Notamacropus eugenii: one gene and its partners. The protein of the gene in region 2 purifies or fractionates together with the protein of the main gene of each other region. This does not show direct contact. Links are inferred from orthologs where the notes say so. Each region holds a gene or a part of one and is shown on either strand. Other genes may lie near its edges.

Region 1 (6,847 bases), on a different chromosome or scaffold from region 2:
TGTCAACTTTCTTATCTTACTGTATTTATTACCTATTCAGTTATGAAAATTCCTTTTTCATACTATGGTTAAACATATTTGGAGATCATAAATTTAAGTGACGTAGACATCCTGAGTCGGAATTGTTCTAAAATGTATTTAAGTCTTCTCATTCTTTTTATCAGACAGATTTTATCTGGCTCTGTGCATGCATGTATTCTGCTAGCTTTAAGGGAATAAAATAACGTGAATTTATAAATCCCCTAGCCTGTTTGCCTCTTTTAACAAAACTTTCAGGTTGACAACACAAATATATATGTATATATGTGTATGTAAAATTTATAGATATATAACATGTTATATATATGTAAAATTATATATTATATATGTAAAATTATATGTTATATTATACATATTATGTATATGTAAAATTACTACATACTTGTATTTATCAGTTCTTTCTCTGGATGCAGATAGCATCTCCCTTCACGTGTCCTCTGTAGCTAATTTGGGTACTCATAATGGTGGAATACAATGATAAAAATGAAACAGTCCCTGGCCTCAAGAAGTTTACATTCTCTCAAGGGAGACCTCCATATGTAAATATATATGAAATGCATCCAAAATACAAACAAAGTAGTTTTGGAGGAGGGGAGAGCCAGCAGCTAGGGGTGTCAAGAAAGGATTCAAGAGGAAAATGGCACTTGTGTTGAGTCTTGAAAGTAAGGGATTCTCAGAAGCAGAGGTGAGGAGAAAGGGCATTCCAGGCATGGGGACCAGCCAGTGTAAAAGCCTAGAAACAGGAGATGGAGGATAGCATCCAGTTTGGCTGCTGGTAGTATAGGAGGGAGAGCAATATCCAGGATGACATGGGCTAGGGTCAGACTGTGAAGGACTTAAAAAGAAAAACAGAGGTTTTTCTATTTTATCTTAGATCAACAGGAAACTACTCCTAGTGTAGAGCGTGGAGGAGTCACATGAGCAGATCTCTGCAGAAGGAATATCCCTTGGGCAGCTTTGTGGAAGACACATTTGGGTGGGGGGAGACTAGAGGCCATTGTCATAGTTGTGGAGAAGAGATATGGGCCTAAGCTAAAATGGGGGCTTGTGGATACCAAGAAACAGTCAGTAATGAGGGATTGCATGGTGAGAGAAACAAGATTTGGGTTCAAACCCAGGAGAATAGAACTGAGACAATGCCCTCAACAGAAATTTGTGTTGCTGTTCAATGATTCAGGTGAGTCCCTTCTTGACCCTATGGCCCATAGCATGGCACAAATTGGAAAGTGACAAATCAGGGTAAGTTTGAAGGAAAAGATGAGTTCTCTTTTGGATATTCTGAATTTGAGTTACAAGGACATCCACTTGGAAATGCCCAAAAGGCAGTTGGTGATGCAGCATTGAGACTCAGGGCACTGTGACTTGGACATATAGATTTGGGCATCGCCTGTATAAAGACAATAATTAAACCGTGGGAGCTGATGAGGACCAAGAAGAGGACTAAGGGATAGAGGAGCAGCTACGAGTCAGGAATACTAGCTGTGTGACCCTGGGTAAATCATTTCATCCTGCATGCCTCAGTTTACTCATCTGTAAAATAAGCTGGAGAAGGAAATGGCAAACCACTGCAGCATCTTTGCCAAAAACCAAATCTATAGAGGGTCACAGAGAGTTGGACACAACTAAATCACAAATCCCTCTATTTCCTCCCAACTTCCAACGTCCTGCTCTAACGCCTCATCTTGGAGTGCTTCTATAAGTCTATGGCATTCTGTTGTGTTCCAAAGGCTTCAAGACCAATCCCAGTATTTACCACTTTTTTGGCTTTCTGAGGATCGGCCCAAGCGCAAGGCAGGGAGGGGGTCATCACCACCAGATTGCGTCCTTGATGAGTTCTTTGACTGTGACTAAAACCCGGGCAACCAGGAAAGGCACAAAAGAGCCTTGGGTCCTGTAAGCCAGCACTTGAAAAGTGATGGTGCAGGGAAGAGAAAGGGCGGCGGAAGGGGCTGGGGATCCCAGTTCTTGGGCAATCTGGAAGTCTTAGCTCAGTCATCAGTCCTTCAAATGTAAGCCATTTAAGGTGAGTCCCAGAAGATGGCTAGGTATGGATGGAGTGTGGCCTTCAAGACTTTTTGATTCGATTACCCAATGTATACAGTTAAAAACTGTAAAAATGTCAGGTATCACCATCTTGTTACATTCTGGTTTGTGCGCATGTAAGTCTTCTGCCCCCAGGATTACAAAGTATCTTATCCCCTGGGGAAAGGTTGCAGAATGACAGACAGAGAGCCTTTATTCCCTTTTTTCCGTGAAGGGACATGTACAAATATACCCCGGTGCCCGCTGTCTCTCCGAACAGCTCGGTGCTTCCATAGTGCGTGTGGATTGATTGGAGCTGAAACAACAGAACCTAGAACCGCAACTGGAGGAAAAGAAGTCTTCAAGACGCGGATGAGTGAAAGAGATGCAGCAGAACGGGGCAGAGGCCGGGCCGGGCCGGGCGGCGCCCGAATTCCACTAAGGGGGAGGCGGGGGACTGGGAACTTGGGCTTCCGAACCGACTCCGCGATGCCCGGTCCGTGTGAGTGCGGGATCTGGCACTGAGCCCCGCCAGGCGCAGGCAAGCTCCCGCCCAGGACGCCTAGAGCAGCCCTGATCCGCGGGGAGCCCGGCGGACTGAGCCGGTGGAGCGGGGCCCCGCCGTGACGCGGCAAAGCCGCGGGTCCCAGGAGGAAGGACCGAAGCAGCCCCGGGGACGTTGGCCGGTTTATGGCGGACCAAGGCGGGGAGAAGTGGTAGGGCAAGTGTGTCGTGACTCTGCCTCCGCCCCGGGATCGGCCGCGGCGCCCGCAGAGAGACCTGAGAAACGCCACGTCTGGAGGCAAGAGAACACCTGCAGGTGCAACCTCACCCCAGGAGAGTTCGGGCCTGCTGGTCAACCAGGGGGAGTAACGGTCGGGGAGCGCGTGCGTTCGGTTGTGGGACCAGACGACGAGAGGCTGAGCAAGGTGGGGATGGAGGGACGAGAGGAGGGAGGAAACGGAGGGGATGGAGGGGATGGAGGGGATGGAGGGGTGGGGGGATGGAGAGGATGGAGGGGTGGGGGGATGGAGGGGTGGGGGGTAGGGAGGAAACTGACGGGATGGAGGAGATGGAGGGAAGAGGGGTGGGGGGATGGGGGATGGGGGATGGAGGGGTGGAGAAGGAAGGAGGGCTGGGGAGTTTGGGAGTGTAAATGGGGAACACCTCGGAGCAACCCCGCTCTTGTTTCTCAGCAAATCCCATCCTTCCGCCTGGGGCCAGGGGTGCCCCTTCCCACCCCTCCCCTCCCCCCCCACCCTTCCCTTCCCCTCCCCCGCTCTCCTCTTCCCCTCCCCCGCTGGTCTTCCCCTTTAAGGCGGCGGGGGAGGGGGCAGCACCCTCCCCTTCCCTTTAAGGCCCGCGGCGGCGGCGATCGCGCAGGCGCGTGGGTGGGCGCGGGGGCTGCCGGGAGAGGCGGCGATGGAGGCTGCGCGGGCCGTGCGGGGCAGCTGAGGCCGAGGAGGCCGGGCCGGGGCCGGGCCAGAGCTGGGGTTGGGGCCGGGGTGCGCAGGTGAGCGGGGGCAGGGCGGGGCGTCGTTCCGGAGAGAGGACGGGGGACCGGGAGCTCCTCCCGCCTGTGCCTCGGGCGCCCCCTGCGGGGCGGGGGGCTCCCCGCTCTGGCCCGGGGCACCCCTCGGGGAACCGGCAGGGACCGGTCCGGGGCATCTCCGGGGGAGGCGGAGCTCCCCTCTATTACGGGGTGCCCCGGGGGAAGGTCTACACTAGGAATAACTCCACACCTGCTACAAGTTGTCTGCCGTCTAGAGGGAAGGGGTGGGAGTGGAGATCACTCACAAGAAGGGCCTTCATCCCTAGGGGATGGACCAGGCAGGTCGGTGTGGTCCCTAGGGCCCAACTGGACCGGGGATAGGCCCCCATACAGCCCCAACCATCGGGGGGCTCCTCCCCCCCATGCTCCCTCCTCAGGGTCCCGGGGTGGGGGCTAAGAGGCCGAGTCCCCACCGCATTGCGTCTGGGAGGGAGAGCGGCCGCTGGAGACGCCCCCTGGAGGCCGCTGCAGGAAGTCCGGCCGAGCCACAGGCAGGACCCCCCTCCCGGCTGGGAGCCCCCCAGGCTGTCAGAGCCCCAGAGTTCTCGTCCTCCCCCTGCAGGGGCCTCCTCCCAAACCCGAACCCTCCGACCATGTCCACCCTGGTGATGTCTCGGGAGGAGAAGCCGAGCCAGGATGAGATCGTGCTGGGCACCAAGGCGGTCATCCAGGGGCTGGAGACCCTGAGGGGCGAGCACCGCGCCCTGCTGGCCTCCCTGCTGGAGAATGTGGCCGGGCGGGAGGCCGGCGAAGCCGAGCCCGGAGCCCAGGAGCGCTCGGGACTCCTGCGCCGATCTCTGGAGGCCATCGAGCTGGGACTCGGAGAGGCTCAGGTACCCGGGGGCCTGGGTCTGGGGGAGGCGGGGCCAGGAGTCCAGTGCCCCTCCCCCGGGCCCCCCTTCAGCCTTCTCTCCTGGCCGAGGGGCCGTAGGTGATTCTGGCACTGTCGGGCCACCTTGGGGCCGTGGAGTCAGAGAAGCAGAAGCTCCGGGCTCAGGTGCGCCGCTTGGTGCAGGAGAACCAGTGGCTCCGGGAGGAGCTGGCCGGGACCCAGCAGAAGCTGCAGCGCAGCGAGCAGGCCGTGGTCCAGCTGGAGGAGGAGAAGCAGCACCTGCTGTTCATGAGCCAGATCCGGAAGCTGGACGACGACCCTTCTGCCAACGTGAGCCCGGACCCTCCTCCGGCTGAGTGGGCTCCCTTTTCCTGGCACCCCTCTCCCGCCCCACACATAACCTACTCAGGGGCTCCCGCCCACAGGGCCGACTCTGGATCCCCTCCCTTCAGACCCTCCTCCACTGCTTTTCTCCCTTGTGTGATTTTTTTCTTTCGGGTTGCTGATTCATCCCTCAGGAGGAGAAGGGGGATGCTTCCAAGGATTCTCTGGATGACCTGTTCCCTAATGAGGATGAACAGAACCCAGGTAGGGAGATGGGGAGAAGTGGATCTCTTAACTTTGGGCCCTGTGACTGGTCAGGAGGTCTCAGTCCATGAGGGTGACCACATATATGCTTCTCAGAAGCAAGGGGGAGGAGTGTGTGACTGCATTGCCTGAGGACCCAGAAGTATGCAGATAAGGGGGAACCTCCCAAGACTCCCAAGTATGTGCTGCTGACTCTGTCCCAACCCCAGAAGGCCCTGGGGCCACCTCTGAACTCCTGCCTTCCTCCAGCTCAGGGCTCTGGGGCCGGAGATGCAAGCACCCAGCACGGAGGCTATGAGATTCCAGCCCGGCTTCGGACCTTGCACAATCTGGTGATTCAGTATGCCTCCCAGGGGCGCTATGAGGTCGCTGTCCCCCTCTGTAAGCAGGCCCTGGAGGATCTGGAGAAGACCTCAGGGCATGACCACCCCGATGTGGCCACCATGCTGAACATCTTGGCTCTTGTATACCGGTAAGGGGACGTCTGGACCTTGGGGAAGGGGCAGCTAGGTGGTGAGGGGAATAGTGTACCGGACCTGGAGTCAGGAAAACTCCATGAGTTCAAATCTAGCCTCAGCCATGTGGCTCTGGGCAAGTCACTTCACCCTGTTTGCCTCAGTTTCCTCACCTGTAAAATGAGCCGGAGAAAGAAATGGCAAACCACTCCAGTGTCTCTGCCCAAAAAAAACTCAAGTAGGGGCATGAAGGGTCAGGCAAGACTGGAAAATGACTAAATGAGAGGCAGCCTTGGATTCTGTACAAAGTAGGCTCTCCATAGGATTGACCCTACCCCAGGTGAAGAAAGGAGGGGCCGGTGTAGGTGTATGAACCTAGAAAACCCACACTGGTGCCTGAAAGCCCCTCATTGGCTCATCACTCCTCTGAGGTCAGCCTTCCTCCCCTCGAAGCCCCTCACAGAAGCTGAAAATCTCCCTGTGGCCCAGCAGGCAGAGTCCTGGCTCAAACTGGCAGCAGCCTCATTTTATAGATGGGGAGCAGGAAGTTGACCAGCAGTCCTTCCCCTGCCCCTCCCCCACCTCCTTGTCTTCTCAGTGATCAAAATAAATACAAAGAAGCTGCCCACCTGCTCAATGACGCTCTAGCCATCAGAGAGAAGACCTTGGGCAAGGACCATCCAGCTGTGAGTGAGGCCCGGCTCCCTGGGCTGGGGGTGTGGGGCGAAGAGGACCCTTGGCTGGCCAGGCCTCTGCAGCCGTTTTCCTCTCTTTGCCCTGGACCCAGGTGGCAGCTACCTTGAACAACCTGGCGGTTCTGTATGGCAAAAGGGGCAAGTACAGAGAAGCAGAGCCCTTGTGCAAACGAGCCCTGGAGATTCGAGAGAAGGTAGAACCCATCTGGGGGCCCCTGTCTCCCTGGGCCTGGGGGAGGAGCTGGGGGGGGTGCGTCAGGGCACAAGTGAAAGGAGCCTCCACCTTCTCCTAGGTGCTGGGCAAGTTCCACCCGGATGTGGCCAAGCAGCTGAACAACCTGGCCCTCCTCTGTCAGAACCAGGGCAAGGCCGAGGAGGTGGAGTACTACTACCGGCGTGCTCTGGAGATCTATGAGGCTCGGCTGGGTCCTGATGACCCCAACGTGGCCAAGACCAAGAATAACTTGGTGCCTGATCCAAGGGAGGCACTGGGGAGGGACAGCCAGGGCGCACTGTGGGCCCAGCATGGTAGGGCGGCTGGGGCCTCACTGTCTCCCTGTCTCCCCCTTCCTCAGGCCTCTTGCTATCTGAAGCAGGGGAAATACCAAGATGCAGAAACCCTGTATAAAGAGATCCTGACTCGTGCCCATGAGAAGGAATTTGG
Region 2 (7,206 bases):
TACATGCCTAGTTTCTCCTATACAGCAAAGGCACTTAAAGTGATGCAAACTAGCATGCTCCTCCATCTTAATGTTGTCCAAACAGGTAGGAATTGTCTTTCTTATTGATAGTTAAGCAAGTTTAACTCTCTATGACTAAACAAGTTGTTTCTGTGTGGGATCAAGTTTTATTTTCCAAACACAAAGGCAAAAATCAAAATAATATTAATTCTGTGAACTACAATCATTTATCTTCCTAAAACTCAGAGGGCAATGCAGGTATTAAACTTTATCTACTACCTGGAATTTTTTTTTTTAATCAAATTTATTGAGCAAACTTATCTTCCATGTTTGGCATCTGTTGGAATGATGAATCAGGAAACAGGCAAGGGCTACAGAGGGACTAATTGACTATAAATGAGATTGATTTGTGTGCAGATTAATCATTTATCTATGAAAGGCATGGGACGGCATTTAAGTATGGAGTAATAGAAAATGAATGCTGAAGAAAAGTAGGATTCTTAAATTAATTTCCATAGTAGCACTCAGACTGCTCTAATATTCCAATCTTCCTAGAAGAATGTAACTCTTTAGAAGGACAAGAGTTCTTTCATTTTTTGTCTTTGTATTCCCCCACCCCTGTACCTTTCACTAATAAATATTTATTTAGTTGAGTTGAATGGAAACATGTTTAAGAATAATTCAGTATGATTCAGGAAAATGATTATGGCAAACTAATGGTTACTTTTAGAGAAAACTGAAGTAAAGAAACAAAAATATTTAACTATCTACTTTAAAAAAGTAATCCTCTTACTAGAATTCACTAAAAATATAAGACTTGGGTCTTGAGTAAAATAAAACCCTAGGAATATCCAGGGAAAATAAGCCATTCTAAATCATGAACTAATATAATATATTGATAATAAACACTTTAGTTCTTAAGCTCTTGCAATCAAATCTCAAAGCTACGTTTGCATTTCTTCAATCCCTTGTACTATTTTTTTTAAACAAAATTAAATTATTTCCTAGTTTATCTAAATGCCAGATCTTTCCAACTGTTCATGACTGATTCATATTCGCCCACCTGTCTACCTTTTTTGGCCTAACCTATTTCCATTTGTTAATATCAAAGAAATCTTGAAAAATGACATACTAAGGCATCTATGCTTAGTAGGGACAATTACTCAATAGTTTCTTCTTTTTCTTCACAAGGTGTGTCTGATATGCTAACGTAAAGAAAATTTCCAACTTAAATTTATTACACTTATGAACACCAAATTCTAGGATCAATACTTACATTAACAAATACAATTCTGAAAGATAACATATGAAGAATAACCTTACAAGGAAAAAGGTTATAATTTGTCATGTAATATATCCTATAAATGTCCTTTTCTGGAAGGTAACTTCTCCTGGTCCAGCCTCAATACTTATTCATTTCTTTGAATTTGCAGCAAAAGCTTCTGATCTGAGGATCTATCAACTAAGAATGGGACTGACATCAAGTCCTTCAACATATTATCTGTTGGCATTTAGTCAACTTTTGTTTGCCAAAGACCAGAACCACACTGAAAAGCTACCATTTTAGAGCTGTCATTGATTTTCTGAGGTTGAATATGGGAAGATCATATGGGGAGGGGGGGAGAGAAGGAAATAAAACAAAACATTTTACTATGTATTTTAAGATTTCAAAACTTCTCAACTATTCCAAATTCTATAAATGACTCTGACTTTTCTTCTAAATTAAACTGCCCCAAATGAGTTATTAAATATGGAATGCCAGTAGCTAAAATTAAAATAAGTTAAAATACAAAGTAATTAACTAGCATAACACAACGCCCTGGGACCATCAGGAAAACAAGAATTAAGTCTTTACCAGTTCAATGTAGGCACTATCTGACTATCCACGTTAGGGTCATCACATATAGTGGAAAGCACGCTGAAAGTATTCCTAAATATTTAGTCCACAGCACTATTATTGTAGACCAACTTGGATGTCTTAGCCTGATTCGGGAGAAAGCTTAGTCACTACGAGCATCTTTGTGCAGATAGGGCTCAACTTACTTCCCTTCACCAAGTAACTTTGTAACTTCCTTTGTGGCAGGCCTTCGCTGCATGGGACAGCTTGGCTACATTGTATTTCAAGTATGTAGTTAATCAAATGAAAACCAAGTCGAGCTAACTGGTCAATTTCTTCTAGCGAAGAGTTTCCTTCAGGTCAAACTACAACACCACAGTATTATTACCTTTGTGAAACGAAAATTTAAAACTCGGTTAAGTTTACTTTCGACGAAGAGGAAAAAGACTCGGGGTGGGGTGGGGGGAGGGACCTCTCCGTTTCAGATCACTTAGCTATTTCTCGTCTAAAAAATTCTGGCAGCCGACACCGACAAAACCGTCCGTCCCGTTCTTTTTGGCCATCTGAACAAATGGCTAACCACGTTACCTTCGCTAAACGAAGCAAAAAGTGTAGGGGTCCGGATGGCGGTGCGGGAGGGGACCGACCCCAGAGCTAGTTGGAAGGTTCATTTCCAGCCCCTCCCCCCTCCGCAGGACCCGAAGAAAAGTGACAGGCATAGTTTCCTACGGGGACCAACAAGTAGGGGCATCGGGCGAGGAACTCGAATCCCCTAGACCCGGGGGCGCAGGACTCCGGGGTCCCAGCCGGAAAGGGCGTGGGTGGCGAAGACTGGGGACAGAGAGGCTGTGGAGCCCCTCGCCCCGCACCCCGGCCTCCCTCTCCCCCCCCAGCCCGCGCCAGGAGGGGCCGGACAGGGAGGATACTCACCGCCACGATGACGGTGTCCTCGCCCTGGAACTTGGCCACATACTTGTCGCCCCGGGCCATCTCGGCCTCGTTGAGCGGCCTGAAGCGGCACATCACCTTGATGTTGCATTCGGCCGGGTCCGCCATCTTCCTCGCGGCCGGGGCCCGAGGCCCGGAACCCCTCCCCGCCGCTCAGCCTCGGCGCCGGGACCACCCGGGCCGCGCTCCGCCGGGGGAGCCGCTGCGCTCCTCGCCGCGCGCCGGGCCGGGCCGGGCTCCCCTGGGGCGGGGGCGGCCGGGAAGAGCAACTCCAACCTCCGGCGCCGGCGCCGGCAGCCGCCTCGGCCCCCTCCCGCCTCACTTCCGATTCAATATGGCGGCCATAGCGGCGGCGACCGGCAAAGCGTCCGGCGTGTCCGGCAGCGTCCCCGGGCAGAGGGAGCGGCGGAGACCAAGGCAAGTCCTGTTAAACTGGGATCGTGGCCTCCTCCCGGAGCCCAGAACGACAGGCTGAGCTTGGCTTGGCTCAGCCCAGGCCAGGTCCGCTCTGCTATGATCTGCTCTGCTGGCCCACCCGCCCGGCTCTGGGACTGCTTGCCCGCCCGGCCCCGGCCCGTATCCAGTGCGCAGCCGCCCCACTCTGGGCGGCGGTGAGCCCGGGAAGCGAGGGAGGGAGGAAGGTGGGGCTAGGGCGCAGGCGTGAAGCGGCCGCCCTCCTTTGCTCTGCTCCCTCCCCCTCGCCCTGACCGACTGGTAGACCCTTTTCTTCCGGGCCAGCTTCTAGTAGGACTTGTGGATGTCCCAGAAATGTGTGGCTCTGCTACTGATTTTGGTTTGGTTTGGCTTTTTTGTCAGTAATACCATACTTTTATGACTCAACTGAACCATTTATTTTACTTTGATTTTTTTTTTTTACCAATAGTATCTTTTTTATGACAGCCAAACTTTTTAAATTTAATTTTTTTGACCAGTAATACCTTTTTAGGACAATTAAACTTAAAAAAATTTTTTTTTTGCCAATAATACCTTTTCATGACAATTTAACTTTTTAAATTTGATTTTTTTTCCAATAATACTTTTTATTTAAGAATAAGTAAAATAGCTGGGACAGTGGCTAGAACAGTTAAACTTGTACTCAAGAAGACACAAATTTAAATCCTCACTCCGACATTTGTTAGCTGTGTGATCCTGGACAAGTCACTTAACTTCTTTCAAGTCTCAGTTGCCTCATCTGAACATAATATGGTGGGGAAACATAGTAATATATAATAATATATGATGGGGGAACATAATAGCACCTACCTCTCAGGGTTGTTGTGAGGATCAAATCAAAGGAAAATAAATACCAATCAATAAACATTTATGAAGCATCTGCTATGTACCAGGCACTGTGCTAAGGTTGGGGATACAAAGAGAGGCAAAAGACAATCTCTGTTCTAGAGGAGCTCACAGTCTAATGGGAGAGGTAACAAAGAAACTATATACAGGGAAAATAGAATTTCAATCTTTCCCTGTGTACTGGTTCATTCCCTACTGACTACAAACATGGCCATATTCTCCCTCATCTGAAAAGCCCTGTTGACCCTTTCATCCCTGCTATCGTCATAAATATATATTATTTATATATAAAAAACCTGTTGGCCTTTTCATCCCTGTTATCATCATAAATAAATATGTTATTTATGTATACATTTTTGCTTCTTGAAAAGGCCACCTACAATCAGTGCCTCCACTCTCTCCTCTCATTTTCTAGAATTAAGAGGGGTTCCAGGAAGCTTCCTGTAGAAAGTGGGGTTTTAGTTGGGACTTAAGCAGGTGAAGATGGGGAGGGAGAACATTCCAGGCATGGGAATGCCAGAGAGCATGCCCAGAGCCAAGAGATGGAATGTCTTGTTTGTGGAACAGTCAGGAAGCCAGTGTTACTAGATGGAAGAGTATATGGTGGGAAGTAAGGTGTAAGAAGTCTGGAGAGCTAGGAGAGGGGTAGATTATGAGAGTCTTTGAATGCCAACCAGAGCATTTTATATTTGTTCCTGAAGGCTTTAGAAAGTCAGTGGAATTTATTGAGTAGGGGGGTGATATGATCTGACCTGTGCTTTAGGAAAATCACTAGTGACTGAATGGAGGAAAGATTGTAGTGGGGAAAGACTTGAGGCAGCCAGATAGACCTGCAAGCTATTGCAGTTATCCAAATGTGAGGTGCTGGGGGTCTGCGTCAGCATGTGAAAGAAGAGAGAAGGGGACATGTTTGAGACATGTTATAAGGTGGAATCAACAGATCTTGGCAACAACTTGGTTATACAGGTTGAGAGATGTGAGGTGCCCAGGGTGATTCTAGGTTGTGAGCCTGAGGGACTGGAGGGGTGGTCTTGTCCCCTACAGTAATAGGGCATGTAGGAGGCAGGGGAGGGTTTTGGAGGTGAAAGATAGTGGTTTTGGATATATTGAATTTGCTTTGTTGGCTTGACATTAAATATGGTTGAGATATCTGAAAGGTTGTTGGAGATGGGAGATCAGCAGAGAAGTTGTGGCAGAATAAGTATATTTGAGAATCACCAGCTTAGAGATCTAATTAAATTCAAGGGAGCTGATGAGGTCACCAAGTGAAGCAGTATAGAAGAGAAGAGAAGAGGGCCTTGGGTGGAACCTTGAGGGACATTTAAGAGTTAGAAGAAATGATCTGGAGGAGAGTCCAGAGAATGGACTGTCAGAAAAGTAGGAGGAGAACCAGGAGAGAATGGCATTCCAAAAACCTAGAGAGAAGAGAAAGTGATCAACAGGTGTCAGAGCCTGCAGAGACAAAGAGAATGGAGGTTGAGAAAAGGCTGCTAAGATTTGATAACTGGCTAGATCATTAGTAACTTTGAAAAGAATCGTTTCAGTGGCATGACAAGATTAAAAGCCAGATTGTAAGGGAATAAGTAGAAAATGAGAGGAGAGAGTGGAGGCACTGATTGTAGGTGGCCTTTTCAAGAAGCAAAAATGTATACATAAATAACACATTTATTTATGATGATAACAGGGATGAAAAGGCCAACAGGTTTTTTATATATAAATAATATATATTTATGACGATAGCAGGGATGAAAGGGTCAACAGGGCTTTTCAGATGAGGGAGAATATGGCCATGTTTGTAGTCAGTAGGGAATGAACCAATACACAGGGAAAGATTGAAAAGAAGTGAGACAGTGAGGATGACGGAACGGGGTAGTCTGTTGGAGGAAAAGGGAAGGAATAAGATTGCTCAGACAAATAGAGGGGTTAGCCTTTTTGTAGAGGTAAGACCACTTCATCATGTGAGACAGGAGTGAAGGAGGAGATGATGGCGGAAGGCATCTGAGTGATGATATGAGGAAAGGGGAGCTCATGGTAAATGGCCTCTATTCTTTCTATAAAATGTGAGGCAAAGTTCTCATCTGAGACAGTGGGGGGAGGGAGGACTCTTTGAGCTTTGAGGAGATCTAAAAATAATTTGGAAAACCTGCTGTGGAGAGTGAGATAGTGAGTTGATAAGGGGATATAGTAGGATTGCCTAGCAGCAGTGAGGGCCCAAATGAGGTTATATAACAAATTTGTAGCAGATACAGAATAGTTGTCTGTTTTTTCCCATCTTCACTCAGCAGCATGTGTGTGAGAGTAAAGGTGGTCAGCGGTAGGCGTGACCCAAGGCAGATTTTAAAGTGCTACATAAGTGTTAGTTATTGTTATTATTAATGGAGGGGGCAGCCGGTCACAAGAAAGATCTCTGTCATTCATTTCTTTCTGGTGGTTGAGCCAGTCACATAACTTTCTGTTTAGGGGCCACTTCCAGTTAGCATCACTTTTTTTTAATAGTTTATTTAAATCAAAGACTGTACAAAAGAAATGTTTCCTTTCTGAGTAAGGAGAGGGAGAGTTGAAGCATCCCTTTATCAGGTTCTGATTTCCGGAGCAAAGAAAGGATTGGAGATTTTGTGGCATTACGTTCCAGTCCTAGGGGAAAGTGTCAGAAAGGCCCAGATTGGGGATGAAAGAAGACCAAAAGGAAGCAAAAAGAGAGTTGCCTCCCCCTGCCCTCCTCCCCACACCACTACCACTGCAGGTAAAATGAAGATGATTGCCAAAGAAATGTAGATAAAGAAAAAGGGGGATGAGTTAGCACAGATAATAAGCACTACACATACGTGTATATACACTTGATCCTTACAATAACAACTCTGTAAGCTAAGTGCTGTGGGTTTTATTCCCGTTGTACAGATGAAGTTACAGGGTCAAAGAGATTAAGTAATTTGCCTATATTATGTATCTAGTAAAGCTACGTCAGAGCCAAGATTTAAGCCCAGGTTTTCCAAATGCTCTCTATTCACTAGGCCGTGCTGTGGAATAATAAATATATGGAACACACTTCTTCAAGTGGGCTAGAGGCATAAAGTAAAATGAGTTTTTAAAAAGTTTCCCACTAAATTAATAAAGCACAGCTG
Region 3 (7,197 bases), on a different chromosome or scaffold from region 2:
GTGGGGAGAGAATATAGAACAAAAGAAACTCCCTGGTATAATCACTGAGCTTGGAGTCAGAAAAACCTAGGTTTAAATGCTTCCTCAGGCAACTTGCTAGCTGTAAGACTCTGGATTGGTCACTTTATTATTCTCGACTTCCATCTCCCCTCTCTGAAATGGGGATGCTTAGAGTACCTGTCTTCCAAGGATTCAGTGAGACAGAGCATGTAAAGTGTTTAAAGCAATATATATAAATGCCAGCTTTTGTTAACAAAGAATAAAAACATGATAAACTTCAGAGCTGGAACAGATTGGAGACTGTAACTCCACTTCTACAGAGGAGAGAGGCTGGGAGAGGGAAGTGATATGTCCAAAGTAACACACTGGGTTCACGGGACTAGCCCCCCAGATCATTTTGTACCTTTCTATTGCCAGGGCTCAACACAGTTTCCTTGTATACAAGAGGTGCTGTATAAATGCTTGTTTTTCCTTTCTTTCCCCTCCTAGGGTGCTTAATAGATGCTTGGTGAATGGAAATGACTCCTGACCAGTTCTGCATTGTTGCAGAGGGTTGCTTGGGTGTGTGTGTGCTGGGGTGGGGTGGGGGTGTGTGTCTGGTGAAGCTTCTTCCCCATGACCTCATCCCTGCCGCCTTCTTGTGCTGGGAACCAGTCTGACAGCTGCCTCGGCAAGGGTGGGGAAGACCAGAGCAGAGAGATCAGTGGTGCCTGGTGGGAGTGTGAGAGAAACTTGAAGAAACCTACTTCATCACTTAGAGGTCATCCCTGTGGTCTAGGGAAAGGAGGACAAGCATGCCCCGCCATGGGGACAGCTGGCTTTATGTCTCTTCCCCAGTCACTCCCCAGCCAGGATGTGGGTGGACACCATCCAGCTTCTTAGACAGGCCAAGCAGGATGGCTTTGGGCATGTAGAGACAGACACAGATGTCCATATCAGGCGTGGCCCCTATGTGTTGGATGGGTACGCAGGTGGTCGGCCACCTCACCAAGGGTGACCCCTACTGTAGCTGAGTTCATATGCATCCCAGATCATAGAGTAGATCTGGGTTCTAGGGCCAGTCCTAACTAACTCACCAAATAACCCTGTGCAAGGCCCTTCTTCATGGTCCTCAGTGTCCTTATCTGTAAAATTAGAGGGTTGAACTTGGCTGGTCTCTAGATTGCCATAGTCTGACATCTTTGGAAAGGGCCAAAGAATATAGGATGCCATTGCTAAAAGAGACCTTAAAGCACAGAATGCCAGACCAAGGAGGGCCCTTAGAAAAAACAGATTCAGAACTTGGAGGGACCTTAAAAAGTGGAGTAAGAACAAGAGACCTTAGGAGAACCAAGTGAACTTCCAAACTGGAAGGGACCACAAACAGATGATGTCTGAGTTTTGCCCTTGGAGACAGTTTTCTTCCCCAGAAGAAAATCTCACAGGGTTACACACTGCCTCCATACCTTACACACACCTTTCCAACATGGACCCGGCCTGCCTGCACTGCCTTCTGGATTCCACATAGCTTGGTATACACTCTTCCACCCTCATCTGGCTATGTATGGCTCTGCTCCTAGAACCCTGACTCCCACACACCACTTTGCAGAATTTAGGGTTTCGGGACTGCGATAGACTTTCAGTCATGCATCAACATCCTCCCCCAGTCCTACCCCTGGCTTTTTTTTTTTTTCATTAGATAAGAGAAACCTAGAGAAGGGATTGGACAGGCAACCAGGTCAGTGCTGCCCGGTCAGGATGGGCACCAAGTTCTGTGGACTCCCCGGTCAGACCCACGTTGTTGTTTGTCACCTAGACCATCCCTCCTCTGAGCCGACCCACAATCACAGCTCCACACACAGAGAGGTTCATGGTCCCCAGTTCGCATCCCCCCAACACCCACCAGTCGCTAGGTCAACTCACTCGGAGGCCCCAGTCCTACCACACCGGCAAGCACTGGCCCCGCCCCACCCCGCCCTGGCTCCTGTTTACCTGTGCGGAGGGGGAGGGACGGCAAGTGTATGCATGTGGGGGGATCTGAGTTTGGAATCCTGGGGGGGAGGGGGCGGGACTAGGGGAGCCAGGGACACCCTTGTGGTGAAAGTAGCAGGATTGAGGAGGAAGGAGATGAACGGAGAGTGGGATGGATGGTGTATGGTTACGGTGGGGGTGATGGAGGGAGGAGGATGGAGGAAGAGAAAGAGGGGGATAAAGGGAAGAAAAGGGAAGGGTAATGTAGGGAGGGGAACAGAGGAAGGAAAAGAGGGGGAAGGGGCAATAGAGGGAAGGGACAGAAAGATAGAAAAAGGGAGGAGGTACAGAGGGAAGGAAAGAGGGGTTATGGAGGGAAGGGAATGGAAGGAGGCAAAGAGGGTGGAGGGAGCCCTGGAGGGAGGGGGACAGAGGGAGGCAGGGAGGTGGAGGGGGCCCTGGAGAGAGTATTGGGGATGCAAGGGGATGGAGGGGGCCCTGGAGGGACTACTGGAGGAGGCAGGAGGGTGGAAGGGACCTTGGAGGGAGGCTAGGGGTGTGGGGAGCCGGAGCCGGGAGTGCCCTGGGCCCCCATCCGCTGGGCCGCTTCGCTACCTGTCTGCACTCCGTTCTCCCCGGAGCTCCCGCTCCCGCTCCAGCTCCAGTCCGTGCTGTCGCTCTCACTGTCGCTGTCCCTGTCGCTGTCGCTGTCGCTAGGGCTCGCTCCGCAGCTGCCGCCTCCCCAGCCTTCTCCTGGGAGCCTGCTGGAGGGCTCCGAGGAGGCTCCGGGGGAGGCGGGGCCGAAGCCAGGATTAGGGAGGGGAGGGGCCGCCCTGCTCCCTGCAGGTGAGGTTCTACCCGTGGTGCTCTGTGGGCGCAGTTGGGGGTGGGGAGCCCTGAATGGGGGAGCCGTGACGTCAGAGACGCTTCTAAAGCACTTTCTTCCGAGTCGCGGAGCTGCGGCCGGCGCTTGGGTCTGGGTCGTCCGCTTGGGGCAGTCCGAATGCGGCAGGCCGGGAGACAGCTCACTCCCCATGTGGACAGATCTCATTGTTGAACAATAAAGTTTAAAAAAGGCTTTGCTGACGTCTGGATACAGCTGCCCCATGAGCAGCCAAAAGGCAGGCAGACTAGGCTCGATGTCCCAAGCTTCCCACCAGGGAGAGCCGTCCCCTAGGGGAGTGGGCAGCCCCTACTTCGAGGGGATCTCCAAGCCGAAATTGGAGGACTGCTGCTCGAGGATATCATTCAAGGGTTCCTACTGGATGGAAGCTGAACTGGCTGCTCGCCGAAATCTCTTCCATCTCTTAACCTTTGTGATTCTGTGAACTCCCACCGCCCCCTGCCCCCTGTTCCGCCCCCATGGGCTAATCTCTTGGCCATAGGACAATCCTTTAGATTCTTGGGGAAAGCTACCAGGTAACTCCCTGAGTCTCCTCTTCCCCAGTTCCTCCGACCCCTCCTTATATGACATGAACTCAAGATCCTCGACCGTTCTCGTTGCCCTCCTCTTGATGTTGTTCAATCGTGTTCGATTCTCCGTGACTTCATCTTCGGTTTTCTTGAAAGAGATACTGCAGTTTCTTTCTTCAACTCCTTTGACAGGTGAGGAAACTAAGGCAAACAGGGTGAAGTGACTTGCCCAAGGTCACACAGCTAGTAAGTGTCTGAGGCTGGATTTGAACTCAGGAAGATGAGTCTTCCTGATTCCAAGCCTGGAACTCTACGCATTGTACCACTCAACTGTCCCTCTCTTCTGGATACTCTCCATCTAATCAACACCCTTCCTAAAATGTGTACCCAGAACCGAACACAATATTCCAGGTGTGGATATGATCAGGGCCTGACTACAGTCACCTCCCTAATTCTATACAATTATTAAAAATTTACTTTTGAAAATTTCATTGGTGAAGGGACCTCCTAGTCCTGTAATTGCTTCTCTGCTAGTAAATATGAATTAGCAGCAGCTCCACAATTTCTAATTCTGGAGAGTCATCTAGGACACTAGACTTGCACAGGGTCACAGTCCATATATATCAAAGGCAAGACTTGAAACCAGGTCTTCCTGCCTGGGGTTGGCTCTCCAAGAAATGAAGCTTCCTCAATAGCTCATGAATGGAAAGTCCAGGGTATACTATGCTTATCTGAAAGGAACCTAAGACTGCATTAACTTTTCTTGCTGCTAGTCCACATTGTTTAGAGGTCTTACAAACCACTAAGACACTCCCCCCCACTTCTTTTTCAGAACTGATATCTAGACACACTTCTCCCATCTTGTGCTTGAAAAGTTGATTTTTTTAAAGCCCAAGTGTTGACTTTTATTTTTTAATCCCTATAGAATTTTCCTTCACAATATCCCTACTCCTTAGAACTTTAGAGTTATAGATTCCTAACTGAATTCATCAAATGATAATTTTTAAGCACCTGCTCTGTGAAAAATGCCAGGAATGTCGGCTGTTGGGGCTATAAAGATAATAATAAAAAGTAATTCTTGCCTTCAAAGAGCTCACATTCTACTGGAGGATGCAATAACAGCAAAAAATAAAAATAAGAAGGTTAATAACAATATTTACATAGTTTCTTATATACATTATCTCATTTGAGTCTCGTAGCAACTCTGCAAGGTAAGCAAATAAAAGAAGAATTAATACTGACCCTCTCCTACTGTTTTTGTTTTTGTTTTTCTTTTTATGGTCATAGAAGCTGAGTTAAGAGAGTGTGACTTTTTCATAGTGACGTAGTTGGTAAATGTCAGAGGCAGGATATGAACTCAGATCTTCCTGACTCCAAGTTCAGTACTATATTCACTAGACTATTCTAGCCTATCTCCCTGGAAACAGATAACTAAATACATGATCAGCTGAAAAGGGGAGAAAATACCAACAAATAGGAATATCAGGAAAGGTTTTGAGCAGAGGATGGCAACTGAACTATATGGTGAGGAGGGAGTACATTTCAGGCAATCAGAATGACCTATGCAAAGATATGGAGGCGGGAAATGGAATGGCTAGAATTTGACTAGAAATCTAAACTTGTGAAGGGAAGTAAAATGAAATGTCTGAAAAGGTAGGTGGAAGCAGACTGCAAAGGACTTTAAAGGCCTGAGGAAATTGTATTTTATATTATATTTTATAATTATATTTTATATTAGAAGGGATAGAAAATCTTGAGAAGGGAAGTGTTATTGTTGGGATTCTGTTGTAGTAGATCAGTTTGGCATCTATGTGGAGCATAATTGCAAAGAAGAGAGACTACAAGCAAGGAAGCCAAGAAAGCTATTTTGTTGGAATCCATGAAAGGAGATTAGAACTCAAGCCTGAGTAGTGGTCATGGGCCTGAAGAGAAAGGGATAAATGTGAGAGATGTTTTAAGAGAGAAAAAGATGTCAAGAGAAACTAATTAATCAATAGATCAATTAATCAATTGACATTTATTAAGTTCCTACTATGTGCCAGGCACTGTGTTAAATACTGGTGATACAAAAAAAGGCAAAAGATAGTCCTTGCCCTCAAGGAGCTTAGAATATTGATTAAATATAGGGGGATGAGGGAAAAGGAAGGCGTCAAAGATGACTCCAAGGTTTTGATGTTTTTCTTAAATTATTTCCTGCATGAGGGTATTCAAGAATGTTTGATTTTTCATGTTCTTCTGGGAGAATTTTCATCCTTAAACAATCCCTATGCAGCTTATCTTCAAAGTCAGCCACTTGGGCTTGTATAGGGTTCATGTGTTCTTGTAACATTATTGCCTTTTGCTTCTTTTCTGTGGAATTTCTGTCCACTTAATGTATTTATTTGCATTCCAAATTCTTGTTCTTTATCATGTATTCAATTTTTCTTACTCTATTTGTGTTTTTTAATTCTGCATTGGGAGCTTTGAATTCTGTCCTAATTTCATTCATAATTTCCGCTTTTAAAAGTTGTATTTTTCTTCTGAACCATTCTGGAGTTTCTTGCTATCATCTCATGATTTCTGGAAGAGCCTCTCTTTCATTAGGTAACACTCGTCCATTTATCATCATATTATAATATTTGTTCCAAGAGTTTTGGTTTCTTTTTTGAGGTTTACTCCTTCCTTCTATAAATATTATGTTCTCTTGTAGTTTATCTGTTTGGGGGCTGGAATTTTTTTCAGTCTTTCTCAGTTACTCTTGGGTATTTCAATTGTCCTCTTTTCCACCTACCTTCAGGAATCTAAATCACTTTACTTCTCACCCTTGCACAGATAGACCTCCCAAGGTAGCCCCAGTAGCACCTTGAGTTGGGAGATGTGGGAGTCAGCAGGGCCTTGAGAGAAATCTAGGAGAAGACTGGTCCTGAGTGGGTTTCTGTTTCTCTTAAATCAATATTCCCCTCCAGTCTGTGACACTGATCCTCATGGTTTGATTTCTACCTTCATAGTGTTTTATGTTCCATCAAGCCTTCTCCTTTAAGTGGCTGGGTAGAATTAGTGTCTGCTACTTCTTGTGGGGCCAGTGGGATTTGGGTAAGATTACTGCTCTGTGAGGTTCCTGAATCACAAGTCCTTGGTTGTACCTACTTTGATAGGTGCCTGGAGTTAGATGTGATTAAGGACAGGATGACTCATCCTGATGAATATTTGGTGGCTGGATTCAGATAGCTCTGGAGGAAAGTGAGGCTGCTGACCTGCACAGCCCTCCTTCACTCAAAACAAAGTCAAGTGCAAGTCATGTCATTATTTCTCTGGTGGCATGGTCTTCTTCAGCAACGAAGGATGAACACACAAGGATAGGAAATGAAAACTCTCTGTTAACATTTTCTGTTAATGACATTTTTACCTTACTTATGGAGGTTCTGTCTTCTTATCTTTAGGACAGAAATTAAAGCTCCTGATGCAGAACTAAATCTTCTTAAATACTAAGCTGTATTTACTCATTTCTTGGGCAGAGTTTCTTTCTTCTGAGGTTCTCAGGTTGGAAAAGTTTGTAGATTGCAACTCTCTGGTCATCTTGCTGGTCTCACTGAGATTTTGAACCTGGGTGACAGGAAAGTTGGTGGTGCTTTCCCCATAGAAATAAGGGTTTTGAGGAGTGATTTTGAGGTGGAATTAATTCATTGGGGGGGGGGGATATTCTGAATTTGATATATAGGTAGGGATGTCCAGAAGAAGGTTGGTCATGTGAGAGTGATGTCCAGGGGGAAGATAAAATCTGAATGTAGTCATTGGGAGTCATCTTCATTAGGAATTTCCAATCATTTTTTAGTCTCCAGACCCCTTGGCTTTCAG

What was found. Proteins that work in one complex are often made in the same cells at the same time.
Region 1: the proteins of KIF5B (region 2) and KLC2 fractionate together in Homo sapiens (co-fractionation; 7 studies listed by BioGRID and IntAct, with this or other methods). This does not show direct contact. The link is inferred for Notamacropus eugenii from reciprocal best matches to the Homo sapiens genes KIF5B and KLC2.
Region 3: the proteins of KIF5B (region 2) and KLC3 purify together in Homo sapiens (affinity purification with mass spectrometry; 3 studies listed by BioGRID and IntAct, with this or other methods). This does not show direct contact. The link is inferred for Notamacropus eugenii from reciprocal best matches to the Homo sapiens genes KIF5B and KLC3.

What each region holds. Positions count from the first base shown.
Region 1 is NC_092873.1:18,870,504-18,877,350, forward strand, and holds the start of KLC2 (kinesin light chain 2), read left to right. Parts: upstream 1-3,846; 5' UTR 3,847-3,975; coding exon 3,976-4,446; intron 4,447-4,544; coding exon 4,545-4,775; intron 4,776-4,963; coding exon 4,964-5,033; intron 5,034-5,282; coding exon 5,283-5,505; intron 5,506-6,086; coding exon 6,087-6,174; intron 6,175-6,275; coding exon 6,276-6,377; intron 6,378-6,476; coding exon 6,477-6,650; intron 6,651-6,758; coding exon 6,759-6,847. UniProt on the Homo sapiens protein: Kinesin is a microtubule-associated force-producing protein that plays a role in organelle transport. The light chain functions in coupling of cargo to the heavy chain or in the modulation of its ATPase activity.
Region 2 is NC_092874.1:72,367,393-72,374,598, forward strand, and holds the start of KIF5B (kinesin-1 heavy chain), read right to left. Parts: upstream 3,014-7,206; 5' UTR 2,894-3,013; coding exon 2,768-2,893; intron 1-2,767. UniProt on the Homo sapiens protein: Microtubule-dependent motor required for normal distribution of mitochondria and lysosomes. Can induce formation of neurite-like membrane protrusions in non-neuronal cells in a ZFYVE27-dependent manner.
Region 3 is NC_092876.1:27,702,658-27,709,854, reverse strand, and holds the start of KLC3 (kinesin light chain 3), read right to left. Parts: upstream 3,002-7,197; coding exon 2,566-3,001; intron 1-2,565. UniProt on the Homo sapiens protein: Kinesin is a microtubule-associated force-producing protein that may play a role in organelle transport. Plays a role during spermiogenesis in the development of the sperm tail midpiece and in the normal function of spermatozoa.